Arabidopsis thaliana: one gene and its partner. The protein of the gene in region 1 interacts with the protein of each later gene in a biochemical or structural test. Each region holds a gene or a part of one and is shown on either strand. Other genes may lie near its edges. The genes, in order: RTV1 and XLG2.

Region 1 (5,205 bases):
TGGTTTTGAAAGTAGTGATGATGATGGTGAAGTTGTTGATATGGATGAATTGTTGAAGAAGAAGAAGAAGAAACCAAGAGTCAACATTAAGTCTGAGAATGTCATAATACTTGGTAAAATGTTTATAAGACATTTCTTAAGAAGGATTTGTGGGTTTTGTTTGTATCTTTTATGTGATTTCTTGTTCTTCTTCTTCTTTGTTGTAGACTAGTAGATGATGTTGAAGAGATTGCTATGAGGAGTCTTGAGGAAGAGGACTTGAAGAAGAACTTATGCAAGTATGTTTCTCCGACAAAGATCTCTGCGGTTCCTAGCTCGTTAAACCACATAATAGTTCTTCGGTTTTTTGTTTCTGGTTTCTAGCTCGTTAAACAGATTTGCAAGCTTTAATTTTTAGTAAGAACTTGGCATTTTTAAGACCCGTTGTGTAATATGTGTAGTGGAAATTCTTGTCAAGCCTGGCAAGAACTTTGTAGTAAGAACTTGGCTAACTTGTGAGATCCTGTTATCAGTTTGTGTGATGTAATGTGTATGTCGAAAAAAAAGCTTGCCCTGTCTGAAATATAGCAAAAGCAATTCCTCATTCAAAAAAGAGAAATCCAAGCTTTGATTGGTAAACCTTAGAACGGTGAAATGATTCTGCAAGTTTTACACAATAATATTTTTTTCCCCCTTTGTCGTGATATTTTCACCATCTTACACCTCACAGTTAAACCAACTAGAACAAGCTTTGCCAACTACATTTATGGATTCACCCACACAAACCCATAATAATCAACAATTCAAATAAACATAATTATCCTGATGAAGATAAAAGTATATACAACTCTACTTTTGAACCTAGCTACCACTCAAACAAAGAGTTTCCCACTCAGAGGTTATTATAATCGTCAAATACTTATCCACATCCAAACATAGGAACCTGAAATTTCACTCAAAACACTACTAGAACAGAGACAACCAATGCAAGAGAGAGAATGGTTAAGAGACCCCTACATAAAATTTTAACTTTGGAAAGCTACCTGCAAGATCGCTGATGAAAGGGAAATCTTTTTTGGTCACACATACTCATTGACACGAAAGGCGGTGACTTCGAGAACGAAATCCCGAGTTCTGAGTAGCTCAAACACACATACATCTCCTTCGCCTATATTGTTCTCGAGTGTGAACTCATACCATCCTTGGCTAAACTTAGCTCTCCCTGCTTTGTAGAGGCACCTCACTGGCCATTGTTTCTCACCGAGCTGGAGCTTGATGAAACCAGATATCCCACTTAGGTATTTCTCAGCAAACCCAGATGGCAAGTACTGTTGAACAAACAAAAAACAGAAACGAAGAAGTCAGCAAGAACAGGTCATGTTAACCCTAATCTTGAACCTTAATTACAATCTTTAAAAATTGTTTACCATGATGCAACCTCTGTATAGATATGATGGTCGCAGAACAACTCTAAAGTAAGGATTTGTTGGTTCGAATGTTTTGGCTGCATTGACGGCTCTCTCTCTTTCCTCTGCAGTTACAGTTCTCTTTCTAGCAGAAGCACTCTCGTAGAACTTTGAGCGGTTCTCTGAGTCATCTCCACCGGGAGTTGAAGAGTTTACTTCCTCTGCACATACCAAAACAATAAATCTTTTGACTCTCCTCTGAAACAAAAGTTAATACGTAATTAAGAGTCTGTCTCTGATACTTACCGGGATTAGGATTCTTCTTCTTCCTTCCTCTCTTCTTAAGTACCTTGGGCGTTTCTTCAGCTTTAGATTCTTTGAAAAAGCTTTGGATGGCTGTAGAACCGCCATAACCTTTATTCACTGGTTCAGTAGATTCAGGGTTCGATGGATAAATGACCTTAGCATCTTTGAGTTCAGGATCTTCAAACAATCGAGCACGTTTGTTGAACTGATTCTGTGCGGAATCCATTTGCATAAGAGCTTCACTACTAGAATGGTGGTTGATCTCAGAGTGTGGAGGATAAATTGAAAATGTAGACTGTAACTTTGTATCTGAAACCAATCCGAATGGAGAAACGGTTGACAAACTCCTGCCAACCGTCTTGAAACCAGATTTTGTTGTTGGCTTTCCTTAGTCCTACATGCAAACATGACCATCAGGTATTGTAAGTGCAAAAACAACTGAAAGCTCAGAACCAAGTAATGACCAAATGACTTCACTTTGATCAACACATACTATTATTTGGAATCAACAAACATTCATAAAACACAGTGGCTGGAGAAAAGAGAGTTTTGCTGGTTAAATCATAATCCCAAGTCAAGTTATTAGTCAAACAGCTTAAAGCAAAAACTCTCTTTTTATTTCTTATAATCAAAACAACGCATGCTTCTAGATCTATAAAGTCCACTCATAGTCTTTAAACTGAGACCAAAGTCAAATCTACAGTCGGAAGCTGATAATTCTCAATAAATCTGACAAAAGACACAACCTGAGCAGTATTCTGATGTCAAATTGAATCAAAGACATTTCAAAATTTCACTGACTCACCTCTCATTTCACCACAAAAATCAAGACTAGATTCAGATTTCAACCAACCCTAACAAAGAAACAGAGTTCCGATCCCAAGTTCCATTCGAATAATTTACCAAAAAAAAAAGACACTTTATCACTTCATCTCACTCAATTTTCAGTACCCAAAAAACAAAATCACATCTTTGGCAGTTCTAGACTCAAACCCAACACCAGTTTCCTCAATTTTGTCAGAAACCAAATACAGAACCAAAAAGAACGAAACACAATTTGAGAGAGAAGAGATCAATTACCAGACGCTTGTGTTGAAGAAAGGAAGAGAGAATAAACATGTGGAAGAAAGAGCGTGGCATATTCAGATAAATCAACAGTAAAAAGAGATAAAAGGAGGGACCAGAATTATTAAGCCAAGGAAGATGGGTCAGAGATCATTTAAACGACGCCGGAGAATCCGAAGCAAAACCCTTTTACTTCAGATCTGAAACCAGTTTTAAGTTTTTGCTTTTGGTCAAATGGCTCGACCACACACACTCTCTCTCTGGTTTAAGCCTGACCCAACATAAATATTTTTAAGAAAGAAAAAAAAAAACCAACTTGACCTTGAAAAAAAAAAGCTTGAGCGTGTCAATGTGTGTTTCTCCTTGACTCGTAATGGAACCGGTGAGTTGACTCGTTTCGTGTTTTTGTTTTTTGGTTAGCTAATTAAAAACTTATCGTCCCCACCATCTTCCCCTTTTCCACCTAATTTTTATCTCCTTTTTTCGCAATATAATTAATATTTTTGTCCTCTTTAAAGGATATAATAATTTATTTATTTCCCTTTCTTGCTTTTTTTTTAAAGTTAACGGATTATAATCTTTATGCTATCAAAAAAAAAAACTAGATTATAATTCAGCAAGAATTATTATTTAGTACAAATTTTAGATATTATATAATTTTAATAAAATTCTAATTTTATTATATAAAGTAAAAAAATTTAAAATTGTTAACACATGTTAAGTACATTAATGAGATATCAATATATGTTAAATCTAATTTTGTTAATATATTTTTTAATAGAAGATAAAAATTTCATAATTCTATCCGAATAAAGAACAAGTTCAATCATCTGGTGGAACATGAAACCCTAATTCAATTATTTCATACATAATTTTATTTATCATGACTTATGAAAAATGTCAAATAATTCATGACATAGTTATGAAAGATTAAATGTGTATAATATTAAACTATATGTAGCTAGTAAGATATTAAATTTTACAAATATAGATATTTATGTTTTGCTTCTCAAATAATAGAATAGAAGTCATAAAATGGCCAAAACAAATGATAACTTCTTTACCCCGAAAAAACAAATCGCATCGTGTTATAGTTCAATACTTCAATTTCAACAAAAAAAAATCTGCTGAAAGATAATCTACTATATAATTATTGGCATTTTAATTTTTCATCTTTGTAATATCTTTTTCGTTTGATACAAATAATTCACATGGAAAAAATGGACAGAAATGTTAAAAATGGGTAACACTGTCACTACTACATTGGTTTTAATATCCTTGGAACATTGGTGGTGGTGGCGATGCATATTGGAATCCAATGTGTGGTGGTAGGACGAAATCCCCATCATCATCATCGTCGTTGTTTTCCGGTGGTGGAATAGATGTGTCAGTGGAAGGAGAAGATGATGGTACTGATGATGGATTGACGGGTGTTGGTTCTGGTGCTTCAACTTCTTCTGATTGTTCTGGTGATGAGACCGGTTCGCTTGATGGTGTTGGTGATTGGACCGGTTTAGAGTTTGGTGTTGGGGCATGAACCGGTTCAAGAATTGGTGTTGGAGCTTGACTTGGTGACTGGTTTGATTCTGATGATGGAGTTGGTACTTGAGATGTTTCAGAGGATGTGGTTGGGGCTTGAACCGGTGTTGGAGCTTGAACTGGTGACAAATTTGGTGCTTGATATGATTCTGATGATGATGGAGTTGGCACTTGGGTTGGTTCAGAGGATGGGGTTGAGGATTGAACCGGTGTTGGAGCTTGAACTGGTGACAAAATTTGTGATTGATCTGATTCTGATGATGGAGTTGGCACTTGGGTTGTTTCAGAGGATGGTGTTGGTGCTTGAGTCGGTGTTGGAGCTCCCATTGGTGGTTGGTTTGTATTATGTGTTGGTGGTGGTGAGAAAGTTGGTGGAGGCGGAGAATATACTGGTGGTGGTGGTGAGTGGCTTGGAGGCGGTGGTGAGTATACTGGTGATGGTGGTGGTGGAGAGAAAACTGGTGGTGGTGGAGAGAAAACCGGTGGTGGTGGAGGAGAGTGAACTGGTGGTGGTGGTGATGGCGGTGGAGGAGAAGCAACTGGTGGAGGTGGAGAGTAGACATGTGGTGGTGGTGGTGATGAATAAACCGGAGGCGGCGGTGAGTGAACCGGTGGTGGTGGTGAGTAAATCGGTGATGGTGGTGATGGGGAAGGCATTGGTGGTTGTGGTGGTGGTACACGTGTATCCTCTACCTTGGGTGGTGGCGGAGAACGACGATTTTTAACCGGAGATGCATCATATGGATCATCCGGTGTTGGTCCTTGTGCTTCATTTGGTGGTGAAACCGGTTTAGTAGGCTCAGGTATCTGTGGTTGTTCAGGCTTAGGTGACTCCTCTGGTTTTGGTTGTTCTGGTTTAGGAGAATCTTCAGGTTTAGACGGTTGTGGTTTAGGAGACTCCTTTTGTTTT
Region 2 (6,551 bases), on another chromosome or scaffold:
CGTCTCGGCCTCGACCATGAGCAGCGGTCCGGCCAGCGGAGAAGGTTCTCCTTGCGTAATGTCGCCTTGGGCCCGCGTGTCGCCTCCTTGGGGTGCAGATTTCAACGAAGACAATGTCCTCGAGACCAACGGTCTCATTGGATCTATTGTTAGAAAAGAAGGGCATATATACTCGCTAGCCGCTTCTGGTGACCTTCTCTACACGGGCTCGGATTCGAAGAACATTAGGGTTTGGAAGAATTTGAAGGAACACGCTGGGTTTAAATCCAGTAGTGGGCTAATCAAGGCCATTGTGATATTCGGAGACCGAATCTTTACCGGCCATCAAGACGGGAAGATCCGGATTTGGAAGGTTTCGAAGAGAAAACCAGGAAAACATAAGCGGGTTGGAACATTGCCAACATTTAAATCAATGGTCAAGAGCTCCGTCAACCCTAAGCATTTCATGGAGGTACGCCGCAACAGAAACTCTGTGAAGACGAAGCATAACGACGCAGTGTCTAGTCTTAGCTTGGACGTGGAGCTTGGATTGTTGTACTCGAGTTCTTGGGACACGACAATCAAAGTGTGGAGAATCGCGGATTCAAAATGTTTGGAATCGATACATGCACACGATGACGCGATAAACTCTGTAATGTCCGGTTTTGATGACTTGGTGTTCACGGGATCCGCAGATGGTACTGTTAAAGTGTGGAAACGTGAGTTGCAAGGCAAAGGAACAAAACATACGTTAGCTCAAGTTTTGCTCAAGCAAGAAAATGCGGTCACGGCGTTGGCCGTAAAATCACAATCTTCCATCGTATATTGCGGTTCTTCGGACGGGCTAGTGAACTATTGGGAGCGTTCAAAGCGGTCATTCACAGGCGGAATACTCAAAGGCCACAAATCCGCAGTGCTTTGTCTAGGTATAGCGGGGAACTTGCTGTTGAGTGGTTCCGCCGACAAGAACATATGCGTATGGAGGCGGGACCCGTCTGACAAGTCCCATCAGTGTCTCTCTGTTTTGACGGGACACATGGGGCCGGTCAAGTGCCTAGCCGTGGAGGAGGAACGGGCTTGTCATCAGGGAGCAAAAGCCTCAGTGGCCGAGGGAGACCGGAAGTGGATTATATACAGCGGAAGTTTGGACAAGTCGGTGAAAGTGTGGCGCGTGTCGGAGAGAATGGCCACGTGGAAGGAGATGGACGAGCCAGCAGCATCTTCAGAGCGGAAGAGCTCTTCGTCTCCGCATGAAGGAAGTGGCGCGTGGAGTTCACGCAATGTGGAAAAATAAGAGTGGAGGAGCATAGTGTGATTATTTACGAGAGTGTCACGTCGTCACGAGAGCCATATTCACGCCGGGAAAGAGACAGAGGATTGATTTCATTTTTATGACTAAGTCAACGGAGAGGTTTGTGCCACGCTAGCTGGTGTGAGAATCAAAGTCGGGTTAATGGTTTTCACGTAATGAGTTTTTTGGTTATTTTTTTCTTTAAAAAAAATGTTTGAAACGAAATTGAATTATTTATTTATTTTCCATAAATTTGTAAGATAACAAGAACAAAGACCGAATCAAACATATATATTTGTTTTCTTTAGTGGTCTATGTCGTGGTTGCAACTTTATAACTTGGAATTTTGGATGAGTCGTTTTCCTCTTCATTAGAATTAGTCTTTCTATATTATTATAATATAGGATGTTGATATTTTTTAATTGATTTTCCAACCTGGAAATATCCACCCAAAGTTGTTAGAAATTACTAATCTTTGTGAATTTACTGTTACCATTTAAACCTAATCTATCTTTATGAGCAAAAAAAAAAAAGTCTTATTCAATCACTTAACCGAAAACATTTCCACAACCGGGATCATCATATATGTCTCTGCGCCTCTCTTTGATAAATACTTAAATAGGGTCAACACCTCCGGTTTTCTATTAACCGTGTAATTCGGGTTATGCGAACATTATTGCAGGACCGAAGATATATTTACGAAATTGCCCTCTCTCTTTGACTCCATCAACGCCTTTCGCAACGCATCGTTTTCAACTCCCCTAACCCGCGTTGACGGCAAGAATTTTCCCGGAAAATAACTCATTTTTCCTTTTGATTGCAGAGAAAATAAAAAACAAAGAGAAAGTCTTCCCCTTTTTTTGTCAAGTCCTCGTCTTTTACTAGTGTATACGATCCAACCCATCTTTCTGTCTTTCTTCTTTTTGTTTACTTCTTCTGCAAATTCCCTTTTCCCGGAAAATTTATTTGCTGATTTTTCTTCCTTCCATCGCCACTTTCCTGGAAAAAAAAACTAAATTTCGTCTCTTTCTTTAAGCTAAAGGAGCTTTCTGTGATCAATTTTTTCTATATTTCTGTAGTTGCGTTCTTATTTCACGCGCTTTGTGATTTGATTATTTAAGCCACTAATGGCTTAGGATCTGTATATTATCACTTCATGAATTCTCGTTTTCTCGGATAAGTTGTTAAGTTTCTAAATTAGGGAATTTTAGGAATTAGGGCTTTTTTGGGTTTGTATGTGTGCTTGATTGGGTAAGAAGATGGCTGCAGTTATAAGAAAGTTATTACCTTTCCCATCACCGAATCCTAAAAGGGATAATCGAGAAAGTGACGATGATGATGAAACAAGTAGTGGCTATCGAATCGAATATTCATTCGCCAGTGAGTATAAAGGTCCTCTTATTGCTAATGTGCCACGAGCTCTTCCCGTTGAAGTTGATCAGATTCCTACGGCTCTTCCCGTTTCCTTTTCTTCCTTGCGGAGTGGTATCTCTTACCCAGTGGCACCTCTCGTTATGACTAAGGATACCAAGAGACCACCTGATTCTGGAATAGAGAAGAAGAACGGTTTCGTTGACTCTGCAGCTGGTTCTAGTGTGGTTTTGATAGGGCGTGATGTTGTTTCTGGCTCATCATCATCATCATCATCAAAGAGGTTGGATGTACCAGAAGAAGTGAAAAGTCCTGCTGATTTTCGGTTATCACCATCATCACCATTGTCTGCATCAGCGAGAGAGGAGGATCACTTAGATGATGACAGAGTTTCGGATGTGGGACCTAGAGCAGTGAGATTCGTTGAACCTTTTCAGAGTAGTGAATGTGATGAGAGCTCCTATGTTTCTGATGGAGAAAGTATAGCTGCAACGCATAGAGCTGAAAGGAAAGGTAAAAGAGGATCGTGTTACCGGTGCCAGTTGGGGAACCGGTTTACTGAGAAGGAAGTCTGTATTGTCTGCGATGCCAAATACTGTTTCAACTGTGTGCGCAGAGCCATGGGTGCGATGCCCGAAGGAAGAAAGTGTCAAGCTTGCATTGGTTATAGGATTGATGAGTCCAAGAGAGCAAGTCTCGGAAAGTGTTCAAGAATGCTCAAGCGCCATCTCACGGATTCTGAACTTCGACAAGTCATGAATGCCGAGATCACCTGCAAGGCGAATCAATTGCCTTCACGACTTATCATTGTCAATGACAAGCCTTTAAGTGAAGATGAGCTTTACACGTTGCAGACATGTCCAAATCCACCCAAGAAGCTAAAACCCGGACACTATTGGTATGATAAGGTTGCTGGCTACTGGGGAAAGGTACAGTTTCTTATATATGTCTGCGTATCTATTATCGGGATTGTATTTTGAGTGCTCAGCTAAATCAGAGCCTCTATGTGTTTATTTAATCAGATAGGAGAGAAACCTAGTCAGATTATAAGTCCTAACAACAGCATAGGAGGATACATCAGTGAGAAAGTAAGCAATGGAGACACTGAAATTTATATTAATGGCCGGGAAATAACCAAGCCAGAGCTCACGATGCTCAAGGTTCTTTTGCTTTTCACCTTTGTTTTGGATAACAAATATGCTTAGTGTATGTGTCATTGTTCTGAACTGAGCGCTTCTTTGCTTTGATGTAGTGGGCGGGGGTGCAATGTGAAGGAAAACCTCATTTTTGGGTCGATTCAGATGGTTCTTACCGAGAAGAAGGTCAAAAGCATCCCATCGGGAACATCTGGAGTAAGGTATGGTTTCCTGATCACCAGCTTTTCTCGTTCACAACATTAAATATAAAACTAAAGACAACGAAGGATATTATTTTTACAGAAGAGAGCAAAAATTGCTTGCGCTGTGTTCTCTCTGCCAGTTCCTCCGGCTTCGTCTGCAGTAGAACCATATGATGTGCCCTTATATGAGCAGAAGATGCTTAACAAGCTTCTTTTGATTGGTAGCGAAAAAGGTGGCGCCACTACAATTTACAAACAAGTGAGCTATTCATCTTAATGCCTCCCACTTGAATGTTTCACATCTAGTAAAGAATCGGGAATTGACTTCTTCTGTTTCAGGCAAGGTCTCTCTACAACGTCTCATTCTCTTTAGAAGACCGTGAAAGAATCAAATTCATAATCCAAACAAATCTCTATACCTATCTGGCAATGGTTCTTGAGGCACATGAAAGATTTGAAAAAGAGATGAGCAATGACCAGTCTTCAGGTAATTATTATTGACTGTACAAACTATTAGAATAAGAATGCATTCATATTCTAATACAAACATCAGTTAACAATTGATTATTGAGGAAGACTGATCGAGTTCTTGGGATTTAGGCAATGTGGGAGATGAAACCAGTGCAAAACCAGGTAACTCGATCAACCCGAGACTAAAACATTTTTCAGATTGGGTTTTGAAAGAAAAGGAAGACGGAAACCTGAAGATATTTCCACCATCAAGCCGTGAGAATGCTCAAACCGTTGCAGATCTCTGGAGAGTACCAGCTATTCAAGCCACCTACAAAAGACTTCGCGATACACTTCCCAGGAACGCCGTTTATTTTCTTGAAAGAGTAAGTTTACATCAAGTTGCCTGCTTGCATATATAAACGCTCTTTCAGGACCTTAACACTTTTGTTTAAGGGGAAAAAGATGACTGACCCAAATTTGTTTCTTCTCAGATTCTTGAGATCTCGAGATCAGAATACGATCCTTCTGATATGGACATATTGCAAGCGGAAGGACTCTCCTCTATGGAAGGACTTTCTTGTGTGGACTTCTCATTCCCATCAACTTCTCAAGAAGAGTCTCTTGAGAGCGATTATCAACATGATACAGACATGAAGTTAGTTCTGTTCTTTTTCCTTGTGTTGCATTCCGGCTATATGAAAAACCGTTGAACTTACCCTCTCTCTCTCTCTCTCTCTCTCTCTCTCTCTCTCTCTCTCTTTAGGTACCAACTCATCCGGCTAAATCCGAGAAGCCTTGGTGAAAACTGGAAATTGCTGGAAATGTTTGAAGACGCTGACTTGGTGATATTTTGTGTCTCACTAACAGACTATGCAGAAAACATAGAAGACGGTGAGGGGAATATTGTGAACAAGATGCTTGCAACCAAACAGCTTTTCGAGAACATGGTGACTCACCCGAGCCTAGCTAACAAAAGGTTTCTTTTGGTTCTAACCAAATTTGATCTCCTAGAAGAAAAGATCGAAGAGGTTCCTCTAAGAACCTGTGAGTGGTTTGAAGACTTCAACCCATTGATCAGCCAGAACCAGACGAGCAGACACAACCCTCCAATGGCTCAGCGTGCTTTCCATTACATTGGATATAAGTTCAAGAGACTCTATGACTCAATCTTGGAACCCGTAAATATGCGTGGAAGGAGCTTTAAGCCAAAATTGTTTGTTTGTCAAGTGAGCTTGGAGAGTGATACTGTGGACAATGCACTGAGGTATGCGAGAGAGATTCTCAAGTGGCATGTTGAAGAAACTTCCATGTTCCAAGAGATGTCTACTACTAGCATAGAGGCCAGCTCGTCCTCTTGATATTTTTTCCTAAAATTCTTTCTTTCTTTGTGGAAATTACATAAGTTTGTTTCTCTCTCTGTGTGTATGTTTGTTGTATATGTAGTAGTGTGAAGATACATTCATGTGATTGATTTTTCAGGGGAAAAAAAATAGAGAAATAATAAAGTGAATTTTCCCGGTTTAACAGACATTTACTTATACGGTTATTGAGGTTGAACTGGACCGGAGTAGCAATAAATTATCGGTTCAGTTTGGGAGATCAAACCGTTTAAAAGAAAATAATTTGAAATGGCCACGCAGAATACGAGGGTCTGAGGATTGTACCTCCTTTCTCTGCAAAAACTTAAACGTTGATTTGACTCAAGCGTCAAGGTAAGGTACTCTCTCTTCATACAACATTTTAGCTTTACTTTTTCTCTTTACTCTTCTCTCTCTCTTTCTCTTTCTCTTTCTCTTTCACTCGTTCTCTCTCACTCACTCTCTTCACACACAGATCCAAGATGGCCTCTTCAATGGCTAGCAATGATTTCCAGCTCCCTCCACGTTTCTTCACTGTTTTCGTCTCCCATTTCAGCTCAGAGTTCATGGTAAGATTTTCTCTCGAGGTTTCTTCTTTCAGGTTTATCTGTTCATGAGCAAACGATTCTTGAACTGGGTAGATTCTCTTAGCCTAGTGGTTTCTTTGAACTATGTCTGATGGTTTTTATGAAACAAACACTGTGTTTATCTGCATTTAGCTTCCTCTATAGATTTTGCTTTTTCTGTTTCTAGGGTTTTG

Evidence for each region.
Region 2: the proteins of RTV1 (region 1) and XLG2 form a complex in vitro, tested with the Arabidopsis thaliana proteins (one study listed by BioGRID).

What each region holds. Positions count from the first base shown.
Region 1 is NC_003070.9:18,313,538-18,318,742, forward strand, and holds RTV1 (uncharacterized protein), read right to left. Parts: upstream 3,325-5,205; 5' UTR 2,772-3,324; exon of another isoform or gene 2,497-2,771; intron 2,114-2,496; exon of another isoform or gene 2,086-2,113; 5' UTR 1,924-2,085; coding exon 1,692-1,923; intron 1,607-1,691; coding exon 1,407-1,606; intron 1,308-1,406; coding exon 1,059-1,307; 3' UTR 580-1,058; downstream 1-579. Other genes in the region: AT1G49475 (AP2/B3-like transcriptional factor family protein), read left to right, coding at 1-113, 207-211; AT1G49490 (Leucine-rich repeat (LRR) family protein), read right to left, coding at 4,026-5,205.
Region 2 is NC_003075.7:16,439,050-16,445,600, forward strand, and holds XLG2 (extra-large GTP-binding protein 2), read left to right. Parts: upstream 1-2,036; 5' UTR 2,037-2,529; coding exon 2,530-3,570; intron 3,571-3,663; coding exon 3,664-3,801; intron 3,802-3,893; coding exon 3,894-3,998; intron 3,999-4,080; coding exon 4,081-4,239; intron 4,240-4,319; coding exon 4,320-4,467; intron 4,468-4,580; coding exon 4,581-4,816; intron 4,817-4,924; coding exon 4,925-5,088; intron 5,089-5,196; coding exon 5,197-5,791; 3' UTR 5,792-5,957; downstream 5,958-6,551. Other genes in the region: AT4G34380 (Transducin/WD40 repeat-like superfamily protein), read left to right, coding at 1-1,273; AT4G34400 (AP2/B3-like transcriptional factor family protein), read left to right, coding at 6,274-6,360. UniProt on the Arabidopsis thaliana protein: Guanine nucleotide-binding proteins (G proteins) are involved as modulators or transducers in various transmembrane signaling systems. Binds GTP with specificity. Plays a role in the root morphogenesis by regulation of the cell proliferation.